Linked DNA regions of Sus scrofa. The protein of the gene in region 2 purifies or fractionates together with the protein of the main gene of each other region. This does not show direct contact. Links are inferred from orthologs where the notes say so. Each region holds a gene or a part of one and is shown on either strand. Other genes may lie near its edges. The genes, in order: DAAM1, RHOC and RAP1GDS1.

Region 1 (3,590 bases), on a different chromosome or scaffold from region 2:
CGGGTTCTTTCGCTGGCATACTTCTGGTAGTGCAGCATGGCCTGCAGAACCTTCTTGTGGCCCCCGGGAACCAGGCACACAGCGCCCAAGATTTCCAGCACGGCTACCTTCGTTTTAATGTTCTCTGTACTCAGACTCTGAGCAATTACATTAATACTCTCAGAATGAGCCAGGACGTGAGCCCGACCTTGAGAGTTGTTCATGAGTGCCTTTATACATCCAATGAGAGAGGTATGTATTCGAGACTCCGAGGTCTCGTAGTCCATGGTCTTTAAAAAGTTGAGAATACATGACAGGCCATCCAAGTCGATGAATCTGGTTACAAACCTGTCATAAAAAGAAGGATGAAATGTACCAGACTTAAGTCTCTTTGGAATTAAAAAAAATTTTTTTATAGTTGAATTACAATGTTGTGTCAATTTCTGCTGTACAGCATGGTGACCCAGTCATATATATACATATGTATATACACAAACACATTGTTTTTCTCATTATCTTCTATTATGTTCTATCGCGAGTGACTGGATACACTTCTCTTTGGAATCTTTTAATAGCTCTTAATGGAAAAGTTTCAGGGCAGGAGTAGGCAGGAGAAAGTAAGAAGATGTAGCTCTGAAAGTACCAAAAGAAACACCAGATCCTTTAACCCACTGTGCCGGGCAGGGGATTGAACCAGCGTCCTGGTGTTTCAGAGATGCCACCCATCCCGTTTCACCACAACAGGAATTTCGCTGATGAAGTTTTCTTAATTGGGCTCTTCCTTGGCACAGACCTAATGGTCAGTCTAACCAGAAGTGTGAAAAAAATTTCCATTTGAATTAATAAAATCTTAACTGATATAATCAATTAACATATCTTATAACCACAGAACATCAGGAACGAGAAGACATTGAGAATATCCACCTGAGGTTAAAGTCATCTGCTGATCTTGTGTTATTATAGCATCCAGTCCCCACGTACTTTTATGTGTTGGCCACTGACCAAAGGCTGCCCCATATCCATGAAAGTCAGAGGGCATCCTTAAACTCTACGATAATAACTTGCCAAATTATATTTCCTTAAGGTTTACAGCAAAAACATTCTTTTGTATGACCTGATACATGGCATCCCAATATATAAAGCAATACTTTATTACTGTGCCCTAATCTTATTAATATTTACATTACTTACTTATTGTAAAGTCAATCAATAAGAATAATTCATATTGCACATCTGCAGGTTAAGCCTCTGAAAAGTTCAGAAGTAACATAACCTACTGATGAAACCACTCCAGAATTTCCAAACTTATTTAGCCTTGGATGCTCATTAACATCTGAGAATTCAGAACACACATACAGAAGGAAACACTGTTAAGACAGGCTAGAAAACTTATGTTATACAACTGTATATAATTTTTGAGGAATCAGTGGATTTTTCTTAGCATTTTACAAACATAGTGAATCTTTATTTTCCAGCCATCACATCGACCACATGATCTAGATACAGCCAAGCTTCATTCATAGCACTTGTGCTAATAAAATGTACCTTCAAGCACCCCCATCTCCCACCAAAACTTAGAGGCATTAGTGGAAAATGAAGGTGTGAGAGGTAAAAGTAGAAGCTGATTGCCCATCCCTCTCTTTCTTTTTTCTTTTTCTTTTTAGGGCCGCACCTGCAATATATGGAAGTTCCCAGGCTAAGGGTAGAATCAGAGCTGCAGCTGCCAGCCACAGCCATGCCAGATCAGAGCCACAACCTATTCCACTTGGATCCTTAACCCACTGAGTGAGGCCAGGGATAAAACAAGCATCCTCATGGATACTATGTCAGGTTCTTAACCTGCTGAGCCACAATGGGAACTCCATTAGTTTGCCCATCTATTTCTTTTATTACAGTTTTATTCAGATATAATTCACATGCCATAAAATTCATACTTTCAAATGTACAATTCGGTGGCTTTTAGTTAATTGAACCATGGATGAAATACTTTAATTATTGAACATTCAATGAATTGTCTTCAATTAAAAGATATGCAGACTTAAGCCATTAAATGGCTAAAATTAAAAAAAAAAAAAAGAGAGAGAGAGAGACTAAGAAGCATTGGTAGAGATGGTATAGATGGAGGGAATGTAAAATGGTGCAACCACTTTGGAAAACCCCTGGGCAGTTCCTCAGTGTTAAACATAGTGTTGCCACATGACCCAGCAATTCTACTCCTGATATACAGGGAAGTGAAAGCTGTGCAACACTGTCACTATCTGATTTTAGAATACTCGAATCACCCCCAAAAGACCATTTCCCTCTCTCTCTGGTTCTCTGTATGGATTGGCTTTTTATGGATATTTCATATAAATGAAATCACATAATAAGTGGTTCTTCGTGTCTGGCTTTTTTCACTTTGCATGATTACTTTCAAGGCTCATCTGTGTTGGAGCATATATCAGTATTCCATTCCTTTTAATGGCCGAAAAATATTCCATTGTGTGGCTATATTGCATTTTACTTATCAATTCATCAATTGATAGAATTTAGGGGTTTCCAAATTCTCGCTACTATAAATAATAGTGCCATACACATACAAGGTTTTAGGGGACATATTTTCACTTCCCTTGGCTATACATCAAGGAGTAGAATTACTGGGTCACATGACAGCACTATGTTTAACACTGAGAACTGCCTAACCATCTTCCAAAGTGGTCACACCATTTTACATTCCCAACACCTATACCATCTGCACCAATGCTTCTTAGTTTCTCTCTCTTTAATTTTAGCCATTTAATGGCTTAAGTCTGCATACCTTTTACCAAAGATAAACAATTTATTGAATGTTCAATAATTAAAGTATTTCATCCATGGTTCAATTACATGTTTTTAAAACTTCCTCAAAAGTTTGGCTAGTGTTAAAAAAAAAAAAAGACAAGAGAAGGAAGAAAAAAAGAAGGGAGGAAGACCACAAAAAAAAAAAGAAAAGAAAAAGAGAAGAGACAAGTAGTACTTGCAACCCAATAAAAAATCACCTCATTGGTTTCGTCCTTAATGCTGTCTTCAAACTCTCAATAGTTTTACTTCTCTCTTCTTCCTCTTCCTTCTCTAAAGCCAGCAGAGATTTTCTCTATGCAGAGAAAACAAAGTTACTTTTGAATTTCTCTGTTTTAATTATGGTACAAATAAGACAAGCCCACAGATTACAGGCTACTATCACTTTTAATACATATAATCAATAAGACTACAACTAAGATTTACTATAAGCCAAAAGGTAGAGCAAAAGCTTCAAGAATTCCACAAATTCATTCTATTGCAGATTAGTCCTTTAGAATTTAGGTAATGCTTTAAGGAAATGTTGAGAAATCTTAGAAGAGATTAAGTTATCCAAACACTTATATAACCATTCCATAACTACATTCTGATGAAGATATTACTATTTCCATTTGATAGAAGATCAGACCTGCAGTTAAATGTAACATTCTGGCAACTGAAGCTAATAACATTATCACATGATCAAATACAGTCAAGCAGCAATTTTCCCATGCTATTGCTCCCATCCCTCAGCAAAAAAAAAAAAAAAAAAAGGAATCTTTTATACTTTTTCTTACATCAAATTATTTTTTAAG
Region 2 (4,018 bases):
CCCCAGGCACGCCCCAGGCACACCCCCGCACGCCCTGCCACCCAGGTGTCCTCTCTGAAATCCTGGTCCTTTAGGTTCACTGGGCACCTACTGAGCACCTACTACATGCAAGGGATAGTCCTCATCCCAGCCACACAACATAAGGTGAGTTCAACCCTGAGACAATGTGTTTGGTCTTTGTGCAGTGTGAACTGCCATTGTGAGCACCACTGTTTTATTTCATCTTCACTGAAACTCTTTGAAAGAGGCCCTACTGTTATTCCCATTTTATAGTTGGGGTGGGGTCAGGGCTCAAGCCCAGAGACCAAGGGACTGGGCCCAGGTTAGAGCGCATGTGTAAAGAACCAGGAGGCTGGATTTCCAGGGACGGCAGTTGCACTTCCTCACTTCACTGCTTTCAGCCGGGAGAGGGGAGCAAGGGTGTGGGTCGGGGGAGAGGAGGGCCATCCCAGGCTCCTAAGTGCTGGGGGCGGGGTGCCGAGGCGCGATGAGCAGAGGCTCCTGGCCTTTACCTGCTTGCCGTCCACCTCGATGTCTGCGATGTAGTTCTCAAAGACGGTGGGGACGTAGACCTCTGGGAACTGATCCTTGCTGAAGACGATGAGGAGACAGGTCTTCCCACAGGCCCCGTCCCCCACAATCACTAGCTTCTTTCGGATGGCAGCCATGGCTGGGGCTAGCAAAGAAGAGGCAGTGGGGATGTTGGGGAAAGCCACGAAGTCCAAAAACACGTCTCTAGGGCCCCCCAAGACCTCCCTGGAAACCACGGAAGGAAGGGAGGGAGAGGGGCTTTTTGCTCAGGCACCTTCTTGCCAAGAACCAATTGTTGAAGCAACTGAGCTTGAAATTCTTAATCTCAGGGTCAGAGACAGACCTGCCCCCATGGGTTAGAACACAGAAGTGGGAGGTGGAAGAACCACCCACTTGGGAGCCAGAAAACATGAGTTCTAATCTAATCCACTCACCAAGTGTGGGCCCCTGGACACCTAGACAGGTGTCTGAAGCAGCAGCTTTTATTTGCTCTACATAGCAGGGTATCAAGTCAGACTTATTTGTTACCAGGATCTTGATACTTTTCAAATTTAATTATCTCAAATGTCCAATCTAGAACACACTGTCCCTCACTCAGCACAGTCATGCGTGCCCAGAGAAAAACCAAGAGTCCCCACCAATATGGGTGGGTAGGGAAGGAATATTTACCACGCCCCTGGGTGCCAGGCACTATGGGGGGGCGCACTGACAAAAATCACCTCCCTCAGCCCCCAGAAGCCTGGAAGGTTGAAAGTGGGCTTCCCATTTTGACAAACTAGGAAAGTGTGGCTCAGAAGGTTTAAGACAATGTGTATGGAGCCGTGGCAGTGATGGCAGTCAAAGCAGGGCAGGAGACACTAGTCTGCTGCCTTCTCTACATATCACCCCAGAGGTGGGAAGGAGAGCAGACGGATGGAGGGCAGTGGCAGCAGCCAGCCGGTGTCCCTGGCCCACCCCATCCTGGTCCCCAGAGCCCCAAGGCACACAAAGGAGGCTCAGTCTGGGCAGTGCCCACAGCCCACATTCGGGCAGCCTGCCTTCCTCCCCCCTTCCTCCTGGGCCTGGCAGCAACACTGGGTCACTCAGCCCCAGGCAGGGGACAATGACCACACTGTAGGGAGCCACACATCTACCACAGCAGAGGGACTGAGAATAATCCACTAGGGAATCACCTCCACCCACTCCCTGGAACAGCCCCTTCCTCCCCTCTGTCCAGCTCACCCCAAGGCCCTGCCCACCCCTCCCTGTGACTCAGGGCAAGGAGTCAGCTTCCCGGGGTTTCCAGTGTCTCCCGCCCCCGACACACACCAAAGAGCATCTGCACAGTTCATCACACCTTCCTAGCTTCCCTGCCCCTGAGCTGAGCCTCACTTCCTCCTTCCCTGGGGAGAGGAGCCGACCTCCAGCCGGCTGGAGTTCCCAGGCTGAGGCCTGGGAGGAAGAGAGGGCGGGCTCTGGAGCTGAGATGAAGTCGAGGCTGCTGGGGGGGGCGGCTAGAGTCAGTGCTGGGAGGAGCCCCAAAAAAGAGACAAATGAGTCCCAGCACCAACCAGGCAGGGAGCAGTTAAGAAAGGAGGAGATGGTAACCCGATCTCTGCCCCAAACCTGGCTTTTTCTCTCAGTCCCACATCCTGTCGTTCTAGACTCAACTCCTTCACTCTCCCCACACCAGCATCACTTCACACCCCTGCCTTGGTCTGTCTTTTAAGAGGCGAATATCCCAGCCCAAGACAAGTTTTCTTCCACAGTGGGATCCTGGGTGGCCTCCCTCCCCTACACAAACACACACACACACACACACACAACTGGGATGAGGGGAAGTGGATATGAGTCAGAGGGAATTTATAGGAGTTGAGAGTGCACAGCCACTCTCCCCACCACAACAGGGGCTCCCCCTGACACCCCAAAAGACAAACAAGAAGGCATTCACCCTGCCAGCAGATCCCTTCCAAAAATGGAAACCATCCTTCAGAAAAGGGGGGAGTGTCCCTGGAAACTCTACCCAGGTGACCAAAACTCGCTTACCTGCTCCCACAAGTTCCATTGGTCCAGCGGTGGGAAAACAGGCTGGGGTGGCCCCAACCCGGGCAGGGCCCTGCTGATGGAGGGCTGGAGGGCATTCACCACTGGGGTGACTGCCAGTTGCTTAGGCATGAATGTGCCACTGCCCACCCCCAGCAGGACAGTTTAGGTGGCACCAGATGGTGGGGGGCAGAGGCCAGAACTCCGGGGCAAGAGCATGCATTAAATTACCTGGAGCCCCCAGCTCAATCATAAGACTTTCCCTTCAAGCTCAGTAGAGTAGTTGGCCCAGGCCACCAGGCCCAAGGCCAAGATGGCAAGGACAACAGCTCCCTGTGAGAGGCGGCCCCTGAAGAACTGCCCCACTGACCCTCAGAGAGGCAACCAAACCCCACACTGGACTGGAATGGAACCTGAACTCCTGGGGCCTTCCTTGGGACTAAACAGCTGCCCTCTCCTCCATCCTGTAGATTCCCAGATGAACCAGGGGCTGCAGTACCCTGCTGGCCACCCCTGAGGTCCAGGGAAGAAATCAGATACGTCCTCCTGAACGTGAAAACTAGAAGTGATGGCAGGACTCAGCCTTGGGGCCTCCAGCCCAAACCCCCAGGACACTCTCTAGCCGGGTTGGGAAGTGTGAAGGCGGGTGGGGGGGTTGGAAGGGAGGAGATTCTTGAACTCACACACACACGCACGAGCTGGATCCTTCCCAATCTCCCCTACCTCCCACTCCAGGCCGACTCCAGAAACCATCTAGGGCGACGGCCAGACCCCCGGAACAGTGGCCGCCCCCACGGTCACACCCAGCCCCTATTCCCGCCACTCCACCAGCCCGGCGAGGGGAATTCCCTCCTCCATCCGGACTCGGACCGGGACCCACACCCCAGCCCCGGTCCACAGCGGGCCGCCGGGCCTGGAAACTAGAGCGTCTGGCCTGGGGCTTCCTCGCAGAGACCCAAGTTGCCCCATTTCCCCTCGCCCGGCCGGGCAGGTTCCGGGAAGTCGGGAGGGGAAGGCAAGGGACTCCGGCTTGGACACCAAGAGACGACAGGCCCTGCGGGGCAATTCCCGGGGCGCCTCACGGCGGCCCAGGAGGGCAGGGAGGGGCCGAGCCCGGCCGACCCCCGCGCCGCCCAGGCGCCGCGTCCAAGGGGAGGGCAGGCGGCCCGTACTCGGGCCAAAGCCCCTCCTCCCCGGCCGGCGCCCCGAGCTCCGGCCAAGCGGAGAAGGGGGAAAGTGCTCTGCCGGGGACGAGTTCCCAGGACAACCCCGCCGCCCCCAGCCCTAACCCGAGGTACCTTCCGCTCCACCGCTCCCAGCTGCGCGGCCGGTGCCGGAGGCAGACTGACCCGAGGGGCACCGCCCCGCCCTCCTTCTTCGCCGCGGCGGGAGGGGCGACTCGCGGGAGGGGCGGGCCCGCAGGGGGAGGGGCGGGCCGGGCGGCCCTAGGCTCCGCCCGCCCCCC
Region 3 (4,370 bases), on a different chromosome or scaffold from region 2:
AAAACTTCTCTCCATCCTCTGAATCTATATGATACGTAAAGGTCTTCCGTGCCACTCATACTTTATTTCTATTAATGTTATCTGTGTATGTATCATTCCTGTTAAGATTGTAAGCAACCTGAAAAACGAATGTCTTCTTGATCTTTCTCCTCCCACGGTAGGTATACAAGAAATATTAAGTACACACTGAATTTTAAGTATATATATATATAAATGTATACATAAAAATAATAGACATGGTCCATAAGGTTACATTGGAAGTTTCCTTCACTTTCTTCTGGAGAAAAATCACTGCCATAACAATATCTTCTTTAAAAATCACCATATTTACTTATGAAAATGACATTAGCGATTTTTTTGACCCCTATCGCTTATCAGTATACCCTTATGTATATAGGAATTGCTATAATAACTTCCTTGGCTTAGAATATAATATTGTCTTTCAATGTTTCAATTTTACATTATTGTATATGTCTACTGATGGTAAACAAAACCACCTTACCATTGAAAAGAGCAGTGTAGGAAGAAATAGCTTGCCTAGTGGCTGTTCCAAAACCCACACATCTGAGACGACACAACTTTTTTTTTTTTTTTTTGAGAGAAAGAGAAGAGCAGTCACAGTATAATTATACTTCTCTGTACCCAGTTCCTCCACACCTCCACCACCTGCACAAAATCTATCAACCCAAATGTCTGTTCAGGGCCCAGACTTTCAGGTTCCCCAGTTGAAAATAATAGATAGGTTTCCAGTTCAATAATTAATTTACCAAAGATTTACTGAATACCTACTATGTAGAAAGCACTGTGGAGGACCCTGAAATTAAAACGACGTAATTTTCACCTTCTAGAATGCATGATTAAATGCACAATACAAACACATAAACAACTCTGTTATAAAGCAGATTATGTAAGGTCTAAAAAGCTTCCAACAAGGTACAAACAGAATGGTATGAGGAGAGAGGGTGATTTAATCCGAGTATCTGAGAAGCTTCAAATGAGAGATGGATTTCTATTTGGACTCTCTTTGAAATCAAGCAAAGATTTTCGGGTTAATTATTTTACTTGTGGCCTGTAATTAAGTAGAAAACCTTTGCAATGTTCAAAGGAAAGACACAAGGTATCCAATAATCTGAACTGATATTTATTTAAAATTCTACTCCCAGAGAAATTTATATAAATAATAAATGGGCCACCAAACTTTTACAGAAATATGTTCAGCATACCTACAGCACATTAAAAAGGAAAAAACTGAACAACAGAAAACAAAATTCAGTGTCCTAGATTTATACCTCCTCTTGCAAAAATGACCTCTTCCGCCAAAGGTCTGAATCAGAGCTTGGAGCATTTGCTCTTCGAGTGAGCTCCATAGACACCATTTCTAGATTTAGATATTTCCTTGAAGATTTTGAGTTGCCATGACCTAACTCTGGACGTGTTGGGCACCAGACTGACAGATAAAAGGTCCACACTCATCTCAAGCTTAAAATAACTTGCAAGGAAGGGGTGGGGAAAGTCTGAGTTGACAGGTGCCAAAGGAGCAAATTTTAAAAAGAAGAAAGAAACTATGACAGGAATGGAAGCAAACTGGGGAACAGGCAGAAGCATGGCATTCCAAACCGCTACAATTTTTAAAAATGTTTCGTCTTTTAATCACATTACCGTAGCCACCAGACGTTTTTGCAATTACTGAACTTAACAATGAAGCAACATATTATGAAAAAGTAGGATTAATTATATGTAGCTTTGTAAAACATCTCATCCCAACTCTTAAATATCTCATCCCAAACTCTTAAGATTAATCACAAACACGAAGGAACTAAAATCGCATTATATAGATTCCGACAAGGGAAGCTGGGAAAGCATTACTAGTATGTAAGTTCGGTACCATGTTACAGACAGGCAGGGTGCAGTTTCGTGCTACAGGAGACAGGCGAAGGAGCCAAGAAAATGCGTTGAACACCGGAATAGTGCACACTGTAGTCACCCAACACGAATTCAACAGCTAGCGGCTCTATCCATCCTGCCTCACGTTCCTCGTGGCCTCTGACAAGTCATCCTTTCAACCTATGAGACTGTCCGCTCTCCCCCACCGAAAATAATTTCCGTGCAGGTTGTAAAATCACCCCCACAAACTACTTGCTCCCACTTCCCCGCCTCGGGATGAGCAGTCCCCAAGATGGGGAAAGGTCGCCCAGACAGGGAAGTTACGTGAAGTGGTCTTTCTAGCGGTCGGACCCGAGTCTCCAGCCCAGCAGCCGCGAGGGGAAGGAAGCCGGCGGCCTCTGAAGAAACCGGGATGGGGCAGCGGATGCGAGCCCGCGGGGCAGGCTCCGTGGTGCCCGGGCACCGGCTCGGGCAGGAAGAATGGAGGAGGGGAGGCGAGGCAGCGAGGTGCCCGAGAGCCGGGCGGCGGTCCGGCCCCGCGGCCCGACCCCACCCCGCACTCTGGACCCTCCCAGCCCTGGGACCCGGCGTGCGTTCCGCGTGCGCCGACTCTCCCCGGAGAAACAGCCACTGCCTCACCCCGGTGGACTGGAGAAATCCGGCAACTTTGCGCGAGAAATGCTTCCCACCCTGCACCACGCCGAGAAAGAGAAATATGTCAGGCGATGACGGGGGAGGAAGGATGACTTACCCATGTTCCTCCCAGAGGGTGAGGAGCCGGCAGGTCGAGGCGAAGGTCTCCGGTGCGGGCGGCGCGGCGCTGTGTCCTCCCTCTACCTCTGTCTCTCCCGCAACCAGGGAGGGACCCGCGGGGGGCGGCCGCCGGGGAGGAGCAGCTGGTGCTGCCGCTGCTGCTGCCGCTGCTGCTGCTGCTGCAGGCAGCGCGGCCGCGGCGGGGACGAGCGGCGGGGGGCGGGGCGGGGTAGGGCGGGGCGGGCGCAGCCTGCGGCGGGCGCAGCTCGGAGCGGGCAGGCGGCGGAGGCGCCGAGCCGGCCGGAGGAGCGCCCGCCCCGACGCGCACTCCGGGAGCGCCCCGCCCTCCCCGCCGAGCATGCTCAGTGCCTCCCTTTTTTTTCCCCCCGGGGCAAGTCAATCTGAGCGTGCGGGTGGGCGTGTGTTTGCGGGCCGGCTGCAGCCGCCGCGGAGGAGCTTGATGGCTGCCGCCGGAGGGGCGGAGGGTAGGCCCTGGGCAGGCTGGGTACCGGGACGCTGTGCCCGAACTATTACCTTCCAGGTCGCTACCCCGACCTGGCCAACCCACACCCGGAAAACGGGCCAGTCTTCATTACCCGACAGGCCGGGTGCACAGGCGGGAATTTCCCGAAGGAGGAGACCCTGGGCCGCCTCAGACCCGGGAGGGTGGTCGGGAAGCAAGGCAGTCGTCCTGAAACGGGGCCGGCATGGACATGCTGGCGATGAGGCCAGCGCCTCTGGAGACAGATATCTGAGGACGCTTGTTTTCAGAGCAGCCGTGTGGGCCCGCTGGGCACAGAGAAGGGAGGTGGCCGCGGGAAGGGCGCTTAACATTAGCGGGCACATCAGTGGGACAGTTAAGTCTGTCCTGGCTGCGGCCAGTTTAAAAGAGGTTCCCGGCAGCGAGAGGAGTGACCGCCCCGGGATTTCTTCGGAGCGTATCGTTCTCCTTCCTAGGGGAGCGCGGCCTTCCTTTCCCCGGAGGACACCCGAAAAGCCATGTCACAAGGGTGCCCTGGCCGTCGGGCGCCACCCTCCTCGGATGTGCCCATCTTTGCCCCGCTCCCTTTAAACGCGGCGGGAACAGGTTGCCAAGGCAGGAAACCAAAAGTCCGCCCAGTTGGCTGCGGCCCCATCGGGTCGAACGCCGGAGTTTCCTTGGACCACGGGGCCAGCGCCTGCTCCCCGCACCTCCCCAGCGGCGGGGACAACCTGAGCTGGGCGCTCCCTTTTGAGGGCACCCTCCCAACTGGGCATGCGCGCGAGACAGAGGCTGGTCTTGCGTCCTCCGCCCTGCGGGAGGAGGCTGGGGGAAACCTTCCCGTTCCCTGCACTCTGGTCGCGCCCCGACTCTCGGTGGTTGGGGTGAGGAGTCAGGTCGGTCTCCCCAGGCGGCAGCAACTACGGTCTAGGCGGGGAAAGGGCGCAGGCAGTAGCACAGCCTGTAGGAGGGAGATGCTGAATAGCTAAATGGAAATTTCTCTTTTTCAACTTTTACTCTTTCAGCCCAATGTTGAGAAAAGGTGCTCCCTGCCCTTCATCAGCGGCCCTCTTACAGTCAGATCCGTTTCCATTTATATGACTGATACTACAAAGCACACAAGTCAAAATAGGCCTTGTAATTTGTTGAGCAGGGCAGATTTTCTAAAACAAAAATGAAACAAAAAGGAGGAGAGGTTTGGAAAAACAAGAAAATACAATGTAACTATAGATGTCAAAGTTATTAGACTGTT

Evidence for each region.
Region 1: the proteins of RHOC (region 2) and DAAM1 purify together in Homo sapiens (affinity purification with mass spectrometry; 3 studies listed by BioGRID and IntAct, counting the BioPlex papers as one, with this or other methods). This does not show direct contact. The link is inferred for Sus scrofa from reciprocal best matches to the Homo sapiens genes RHOC and DAAM1.
Region 3: the proteins of RHOC (region 2) and RAP1GDS1 purify together in Homo sapiens (co-immunoprecipitation; 3 studies listed by BioGRID and IntAct, counting the BioPlex papers as one, with this or other methods). This does not show direct contact. The link is inferred for Sus scrofa from reciprocal best matches to the Homo sapiens genes RHOC and RAP1GDS1.

Annotation. Positions count from the first base shown.
Region 1 is NC_010443.5:188,460,794-188,464,383, reverse strand, and holds part of DAAM1 (disheveled-associated activator of morphogenesis 1), read right to left. Parts: intron 3,092-3,590; coding exon 2,997-3,091; intron 328-2,996; coding exon 1-327. UniProt on the Homo sapiens protein: Binds to disheveled (Dvl) and Rho, and mediates Wnt-induced Dvl-Rho complex formation. May play a role as a scaffolding protein to recruit Rho-GDP and Rho-GEF, thereby enhancing Rho-GTP formation. Can direct nucleation and elongation of new actin filaments.
Region 2 is NC_010446.5:107,731,688-107,735,705, reverse strand, and holds the start of RHOC (rho-related GTP-binding protein RhoC), read right to left. Parts: upstream 2,805-4,018; 5' UTR 2,576-2,804; coding exon 2,557-2,575; intron 677-2,556; coding exon 513-676; intron 1-512. UniProt on the Homo sapiens protein: Regulates a signal transduction pathway linking plasma membrane receptors to the assembly of focal adhesions and actin stress fibers.
Region 3 is NC_010450.4:122,004,548-122,008,917, forward strand, and holds the start of RAP1GDS1 (rap1 GTPase-GDP dissociation stimulator 1), read right to left. Parts: upstream 2,863-4,370; 5' UTR 2,640-2,862; coding exon 2,636-2,639; intron 1-2,635. UniProt on the Homo sapiens protein: Acts as a GEF (guanine nucleotide exchange factor) for the Rho family of small GTP-binding proteins (G proteins) that stimulates the dissociation of GDP to enable subsequent binding of GTP.